Linked DNA regions of Daphnia pulex. The protein of the gene in region 1 interacts with the protein of each later gene in a pairwise test. Links are inferred from orthologs where the notes say so. Each region holds a gene or a part of one and is shown on either strand. Other genes may lie near its edges.

Evidence for each region.
Region 2: the proteins of guanine nucleotide-binding protein G(i) subunit alpha (region 1) and regulator of G-protein signaling 12-like interact in a two-hybrid assay, tested with the Drosophila melanogaster proteins (2 studies listed by BioGRID). The link is inferred for Daphnia pulex from reciprocal best matches to the Drosophila melanogaster genes Galphai and loco.

The regions. Positions count from the first base shown.
Region 1 is NC_060020.1:3,522,350-3,526,712, forward strand, and holds the start of guanine nucleotide-binding protein G(i) subunit alpha, read right to left. Parts: upstream 3,077-4,363; 5' UTR 2,954-3,076; exon of another isoform or gene 2,630-2,953; intron 2,530-2,629; 5' UTR 2,507-2,529; coding exon 2,386-2,506; intron 2,316-2,385; coding exon 2,128-2,315; intron 2,067-2,127; coding exon 1,995-2,066; intron 1,933-1,994; coding exon 1,718-1,932; intron 1,648-1,717; coding exon 1,553-1,647; intron 1,488-1,552; coding exon 1,299-1,487; intron 1,229-1,298; coding exon 1,038-1,228; 3' UTR 1-1,037. UniProt on the Drosophila melanogaster protein: Guanine nucleotide-binding proteins (G proteins) are involved as modulators or transducers in various transmembrane signaling systems.
Region 2 is NC_060017.1:5,048,821-5,052,405, forward strand, and holds part of regulator of G-protein signaling 12-like, read right to left. Parts: coding exon 3,098-3,585; intron 2,919-3,097; coding exon 2,585-2,918; intron 2,052-2,584; coding exon 1,797-2,051; intron 1,696-1,796; coding exon 1,465-1,695; intron 1,383-1,464; coding exon 1,101-1,382; intron 1,021-1,100; coding exon 406-1,020; intron 341-405; coding exon 10-340; intron 1-9. UniProt on the Drosophila melanogaster protein: Acts as a regulator of G protein signaling (RGS).

The DNA.
Region 1 (4,363 bases):
AGAAAAAAAACAGGGTTTGTTTTTTTGTATTTCGAATATATAAAGAATTATCAGGAACATCGTTCGAGCGATGCATCAGGGGCCAAATTGGAAGACATGCCAGGCTGGTTAAGTGAGAGGACGATCATTATCTAGACAAAAAAGCAATTTTCTAAAATAATTATCCACCGATCAATCAACGACCGAGTATCAAATATCTTGGATAGGAATAATAATAATGAAAAAAAAAAAAACGAGTCAAAAAGTAGTTGAGCATGTGAAGCGGAAATTGTTTGAAGGACTGTCGTTGGCAAAAATAGAGCTGGAAAGACCTGGACAGAATGAAAAAAAGAAAAAAAAAATGTTAAGGGCCCAGGCATGTGAAGGAATGTTAAGCCATAGATTAACAAGTAAAAAAAATAGATGGTCTGCATGGAAAAGCAGATAAAAGAGGAAGGATGGCGTGTCACGCAAAGAGTCTTTTGTTTTCTCTGATGGCGTTACGATCAAACAATTTAACGTTAAACGGGGGGGGGGGAGGAGGGAGGATGGCTGTGCGATGGGGAGGATTTTGGTTATTCAACGCGTCCGAACGGCAGGAGAATTTGTATGAAAAAAATGTAAGAGAATTCGAAATGTTTTGTGCTCTTTTTGTTTTAATATGGCAATCAAAGAGTGGTTGAGCTTCGTTTTTTGTTTTCTTTCTTTTTCTTCAAAAGGGATATTAGTGTCAATATCATTGCTCGAGCAAAACAAAAGAAATATCAACAGATTAAATTTCGAGTCGATCGAATAAAGGGAGGAAGCAATTATGTGCGTGATGGCCAGCGCAACGAGAGGGATGCTTACAGCGAATTTGTGTTGCGTTTCTTTCTTTCTTTTTCTTTCTTTTACGGGCCGACGATGAACGTACAGTTTACAAAATGATATTTTCAGACTAAGTTTGTGGTATCCAAGACAAAATCAATAATAAAGAGAGAGAAAAATAAGAGGGGAGAGTTTAAGATTAAGAGAGAGAGCTGGGATGGGATGGTGTGCACTGGCATCCCAGAATCGAATTAGAAAAGACCGCAGTCTTTCAAATTGTTCTTAATCACAACATCCGTGACCGCATCAAAGACAAATTGGATGTTGCTGGTGTCGGTGGCGCACGTAAAGTGCGTGTAAATCTCTTTCTGGTCACGACGCTTGTTTAGACTCTCAAACTTCATTTGAATGTAGGCCGCTCCCTCCTCGTAAGTGTTGGATCCTTGAACGCAAACGTCACACAAATTAGTTTCTGAAGAAAATTAAAAAGGACTTAAGTCAATTAAACTTACCTGGGTATTCGGGAAAGCAGATGGTGAGAGATGATTTGGTAATTTTCTCCTCAAAGAGATCCTTCTTGTTGAGGAACAGGATGATTGAGGTCTCCACAAACCACTTGTTGTTGCATATCGAGTCAAACAGCTTCATTGACTCGATCATGCGATTCATCTCTTCATCTTCGGCTAACACCAGATCGTAACCTGGAGCAAAGTATCAACAATAAAGCTCACAGAAAAGGGGAAATTAAGCCTGAATCTTTTCGTACCTGATAACGCCACGCAAAAGATGATGGCTGTCACTCCTTCAAAACAGTGAATCCACTTTTTACGTTCTGATCGCTGTCCGCCGACGTCAAACATCCTGTAGATTCAAATGAATTCGATGAGTTTCTATGATTTTCGAATGATGGAAAACAAGTGAATGATTGTACTTGAAACGAAGTCCTTTGAATGAAAAATGCGTTTCGATGATTCCTGTGGTTTTCACTCTTGTTCTCAGGACATCTTGCTGCGTAGGTACGTAGTTGGGTGCTGAGATACGGTCTAAGGCGTTGAGATAATAGGCAGCTGAATCGTTCAACTGGTATTCCCGGGAGCGAGAGAAACAATGCTGCACCCCTCCGTCCATCCACAATCGTTTCATTACCTAACGAACAGAATATTAAAGTTAGGATTTTTCAATTTACAAGGAAAGATGGATCGTCTTACCTGAGCCAAGTCATATGTAAGCATTCCTTCATCAGCAGCGCTTGCTAGTGTGAAAAATAGCCTGGCATCATCCTATTAGAAAAGCACCAGTTAACGCCTGAGGGCTGTATTCAAATTGAAGGTGATAACTCACCACGGCTCTACTGGAGTCTGCAAAGTTGATTCTGAGTTGGCCCATGGCACGAATGATGGCCATCAGACTTTGTATTGTGTTGCTGTATACTACAGGTCGATACTGTTCACATTCTTCTTTGGAATATCCAGTTTCATGGATGATTTTCATCTGTTTGACAATTGTACTTTTGCCTGATTCACCAGCACCTGTGAACAGAATCAGCATTATTAATGAATGCCACAAAAACTATGAGCGAGAAATCAATCAAGTACTCACCAAGCAACAGGAGTTTGACTTCTCGTGCAGCACGTTCCCCATCAGCCCTTAAATCTTTGTCAATCTTCTTGGATCGCTCAACCGCTTCTTTGTCGGTTGTTGAGCTAACCGCACAGCCCATGGTGAAAACTGTTTTGAGCGAACCTGCAAATACAAAATGTGGAAATTGTTAATCAAACCCAAGCCTAGCAAAATGATTTTTAAAATGCTGTATAAACCACAAAAAGGAATAACTGTCACTAACACTAATTGTTTGTAAAGGTGAACTAAAATGGAAACAAATCCAAAAGAAAACCAAAAATTGTCGGTTAAACTTTGAGAGGTGTCTGATTGTAACGGAGCTTGGTTAAAACTTTCAAACGGCCACCGAGTCGTGTCAACAGTTCAATCCAAGTCACGAACTCGAGTGAATCTAAAATCGATGGTAATTCGAAAAGTGAGACAAGAGCGATCGGAACAACGATTTGATATTCGATGTCTCTTTTGTCAAAAGGAAAAGATTTCAAGTTTCAAAACGCAAGTTTTGACATTTTTGATTCTTTTCCAACAGTAAAAAAACTCAACTTACGCTGCACTGCAGTCAAAGGCGGGGCAAAACTCGAACGTTGCCGTCCGTTGCCATATTTATTTGCCGCTTTTGGCAACGCAGCTTCAACACTCAAAACCCGCCTCTCCTCTTCTTATTTTATTTTTTTTGCTCGACCCCAAATCACAGCAGAGAGAGAGAGCATTACAGCATAGTAGACTGAATAGAGTCTCTTATTCACTATTATGACGCCACGGTCGTGTGAATAGACGGTTGCCCGATAACCGTTACGAATTCGCCACACTCTTGGGGTTCAGCGCGTCGTTTCCATTTTTGATTTTCCCCCACTGCTCCCACTGCTGATTGATTATTCCCTGATCTTGGCCGCTTCCCTGCTGCGTTGCTTTGACAAATGGTATTCGTCCAGAAAATAAATTTAGAAAAAAAAAAATGAAATCAACGTCTTGAGACTGTAAATTCGCTCCTGTTTATTTGGCATATAATTACAGGACATTAAAAACCGGTTTCCTACAACGGTTGGCCTGACACGGCCAGCCTCCATTGTGTCGGTGATGAGCTGTACTCACAACTGGGGGGGTATATATGAAAAAGGGACGAAAGGAGCTTCTACAGCACACAAATCGACCGGAAATACTTCATCACAGGCACACGGTCTTTTATGGGTATGCGCTTTTTTTTACCCGGTTCAGTGTTCTGCCTGTTTTTCGTTGGGTTTTGGTGTGTTCAATGAGGAAACCGGAACCCTCGTTTCGTTTGTATATCTCTTGGAACTTTACACGACGAGGCCGCGCCCTGATTTCTTTTTCTCCATTTCCTCAGCAGCATGAATATATTCATGTTTCTGGGTCTTTTTTCTTTTTTTTTTTAAAACAGATGCGCGCTCTTCGAGCTGTCTCTCTTGTAAACAAACAGACGCGCCGACAACTTGTGTGAGACGTGATTCATATCGAAGTGAGGCTGCTAGACCACCCGCTACGATTTAACATTTTGTTGCAAATGGTTAAAAGGAAAAAAGAAGAAAACGATTAAAGCCATCCCACCAGCATGTAGCATGCGATGATCCCGTCGCAGTTGCTTCTTTTGGTACTTGTTTAACACTATGATGACGTCAAAGGAATATAAGGAGAGAGAGGGCGCTTTTATATACTATAGCGGCTAGTGATAATCGGAAAAATATCCTTTTTTCGAAATCTGAGATCCGCGTCGTCGCGTTTCCCCCCTTGGGATATGTCAGTCGTTCGTATGTACATTCGAAATTGAGGAAATTCTCATCCAGCGGCAGCAGTATAGCGCCCGTTGCCATCAGCTGGTTGGTTTTTCCCATCCATTATTTCTTTTATGTGACTGGTGTGTGGGTGCAAAGTCTTTTAGGTTAGTCACCACCACACTTCCGCATATTGGTTTTTAACTTTTTAATGAAGCCCTTCGTCC
Region 2 (3,585 bases), on another chromosome or scaffold:
ACTGTTTACCGAGTGGGGCTCGAGGTGGAGGCATTAAATGCGCCGTCGAACTGGATTTGGGCAAATCGTGGAGCGAAAGTCGTTTATTAGCGACAGACATGTTCGGATTCTGTATCGTGCTTTCGCTTTTGGTTGGTGCCATGGGCTTTTTGCCTGAGACCGTTCTACTCCGTTCGGTCTGAAGAGAATTTCTTCGACTCAATCCTTTACGCCCCAACAGGCTTCCACTATTTTTGATTGGAAGTTCCTCCGCTTCATCAGATTGTTCACCATGGGCTTGACCTGAACCGTCACGGTCCATTTCACCAAAATCTTCATGGACTTCGTCTCGGTTTGTAACCTACACAAATAACAAAATCATGAAATCTCTCTGTATGAACGCTACGAGCTCTCTCATTTTCTCACCTTCAAATGGCAACCATCCAGCGATGCTAACATGGTTTTTGCTTGGACGACATCCCCAGTAGTCGATTTAGTGATAATCGACTGTTCAATTTTGAGGCCGTATTTCAAGAGAATCGGTTTAACGACTTCGCCTAGCTGCCTCCTGGGTTGGCCACGGATCATCAGCGATTTGCCCGACTGGAGGAGTAGTAGATGGAAGACGACTCTGGGTTCTAAGCGGATCTCCATGCCACCGACCACAGAAGCGTCCCGTTCCAGCTCGATAGAAGTGGAATGGTGGCTGTCAAACAGCTCGAAAGCATTGAAGCGTAAGCCACGACGCTCCAAAAGTTTGTTGAGAAGTTGCTGAACACTTTGGCCTGGCCGGGCAGCAATAACTGCAGAAGACATGTCGGGAAGAAGGACTTTGACCAGCGGCACAGCACTGGCAGTGTTTTGGATGTGGAAAGCCTTGTCACTGAATTCGGATGCCACCGAATCCTTGGATGCGGCTCTCTTAATGAACAGATCTTCATCGTCCGTCGCATTCTCCTTTTCCTTGTCTGGGCCGCTACTGGTACTACCCTGTCGATTTTTCTTCTTGGACGTCTTTCTATAATCAAATTCAGCGCGATCCTGCAAACAAAATTGAAATAAGAAAAAGTCATACAACGTTGTCTTTCAAAGAAAACCATACAAAACAGTAGGGAACAGACCTTGGATTTTGACCGATCTTTTTTGGGCCAAGGCAACAAGGATCTACGACGTCGTTCACCAGCATCGCTGCCACTCTTTTTCAGTGCCAAATTGCGCAAGCTATCGCTATCACCCTCACCGAAATCATAGTCAATATTCAAATCAGGATCATTAAGGGTCAGCTCCGCAATGGGAGGTTGCTCGTTCTGTTGCATGGCTTGAAGACATTCACGAAAGTATGGTGAACGAAGGAACCTTGGGTAACAGTCGTATTTCATCAAATTGAAGACCTGTTTCTGAGCCTGAAACCAACAAAAACATAAAAAGAACAAAAACACGGAATTGAGTAAAAAGACTTTTACGACATCAAAACAAACATTTTACCTGATCAAACAATTCCAGGCTAGGTTGGCATAGATTATCTTCAGCCTTTTGTCTCGCTTGGGAGTCGACATTAACAGGCTCAGAGGCGGCTGGGCCAAGGTGGCGTTCGAATATCTTTTGGGCTTCGTAAGCGGCCGTCGTGGTATCCTCGGTGGGGAAGAGCCGATGAAACCGTTCGCAAGCGGCCCAAAAATAAATGTTTTCGTGGCTAAACTCCTTCTTTAGAAATCCCTGTGTGCACATGTGTGTTCAGGTCAAAAACGTCACAATGAGCGATCGTTTCAAATCACGAACAAAAAAATCTGAAAAGAAAATAAATAAAAGGTACTCACAGCGAAGGCTCGCAGACCCAGGGGGTCCTCGAGGAGCTTCTCAAATCCCTGCATCCAAACGTGTTGTTGTTGAGGTTGTGAAGTTTGAGGAGGAGGAGGAGGCTGCGGCTGCTGCTGCTGGTCGGGCTGAATGGGTTTCTCGAGCGTCCCAGCCAGAATGGTGCTGTTGGTTGCCGAGGCGACGATAGTGGCCGCTATGGTCGATCCGGGTCTTTCATCTTGGCCGCACCGTTGATCCGACGCCGGCGGCAATACCTTGGGAAGATCGAAAACTCGGGCTATTCTCATGATCGACTCACACTCACGAGAGCAAACAATCGCACTGCGGGTGGCGTTGACGGTGATGAAACGAGACGACGGCCAAAAGATAGAGCGTGCCGTATCGAAATTCATTGGAAAAAACTTTGAAAATCTCCGAAGGAATGGGGTAACTTCACGCCCAGCGGCGACCGCATCCGCCTTTGAGCAGCGGTCGGCCACCAAAAATGGGAAATGACTTTTCCTCCGCTCAGAGCAAACCAAAGAAATCAGAGCGCCATCTATTTCGCACTAGAAAACCATTGGGGTCGGTTGAGTAACGCCCCAGCATCCCTTTCGCTTGCTCCAGTCGAGCCTTAACGATACTCTTCCTGATTAGACACACTTAAACAATTTTGCTTCGGATTCCTATTAAACTCTCTCAACTGTGGCTGGCGTCTCTCTCCCTCCACCCATTCGACTTTTTTTTTGTCGGGACTCTCTAATCAATCAAAAAGTTTTCTCTTTTGTAAAGAAATTCCATATTTTACCTCGTTCTCCTCATCTTCTTCTTCTTCTTCTTCTTCCTCTTCCTCACTGCCATCGTCTCTATATTCCAGTCTTTTGGCTAGTAGTTTCTGTCGCGGCGGGGATCCTGATGAAGACTGGCCTGCTAAACTGTGCCAGCCCACGACAGGATCAAAAGGAGTACTATTCTCCCAATCGATCTTGTCTAAACCGTTGTCAGATCCCAGCTGTTGAGCATGGTGATGGTGGTGATGATGCTGTGGCGGATCGCCCGGCATACGGGCCTGCTGTTGGCAGCTTTTACTTAAATCGTCCAGGCTGCGAGCACGACTGCGTTCTGACGGCGTTCGAGCAGGTCTGCCAGGGCGCAGCAAGAATACACGAAGCCAAAAAATGAAACAAAATGAAATAAAAAAGAAAAAAAAAACATGAAATAAAACAGTTCGAAGGCCGTGAACCCGGTCGAGACCTCTTTGACTTGATTACTAGCAATTTCAACTAATCAACGGCGTTGCCAAGTGCGATGGAGTTATTACCTGTTGGCGGGGTGCGGTAGGCCGCCAGGTCGGCCTTTGAAAACTTGAGGGCTCAACTTTTCCTCCAGCGTCATAGTTGCGCGAACGCTGAGCGATGGATTAACATGTTGGTGCGTCCCCGTATTGCGGTTAAGCAACAGCATGGCCGGCTGCGGTTGTTGTTGCTGCTGCTGCTGTTGTTGGTTCAGGTAACGCTGCATCGAACTTCGTAACCGAGCGGCGTGTTCCAGCTCGCCTGGACTTTTGATGGCCATCATAGGGTCCGGCATGGCACGAACCGTCAGCCGGTCTAAATTGCCATTGAGCGGAAGTGAAATGGGCTGGTGATGCAACATGAGCTGATCTTGCTGATGCCGCAGTTGTAGCTGCACGTCACGGTCGCTGTTCTTGCCATCATCGCGATCACGAAAGATTCCAGAGTCGCTATTACTGCTGCTGCTGCTGCTATTGCTGCTTAAATTATGTTGTTGCTGTTGTTGGTGCTGCTG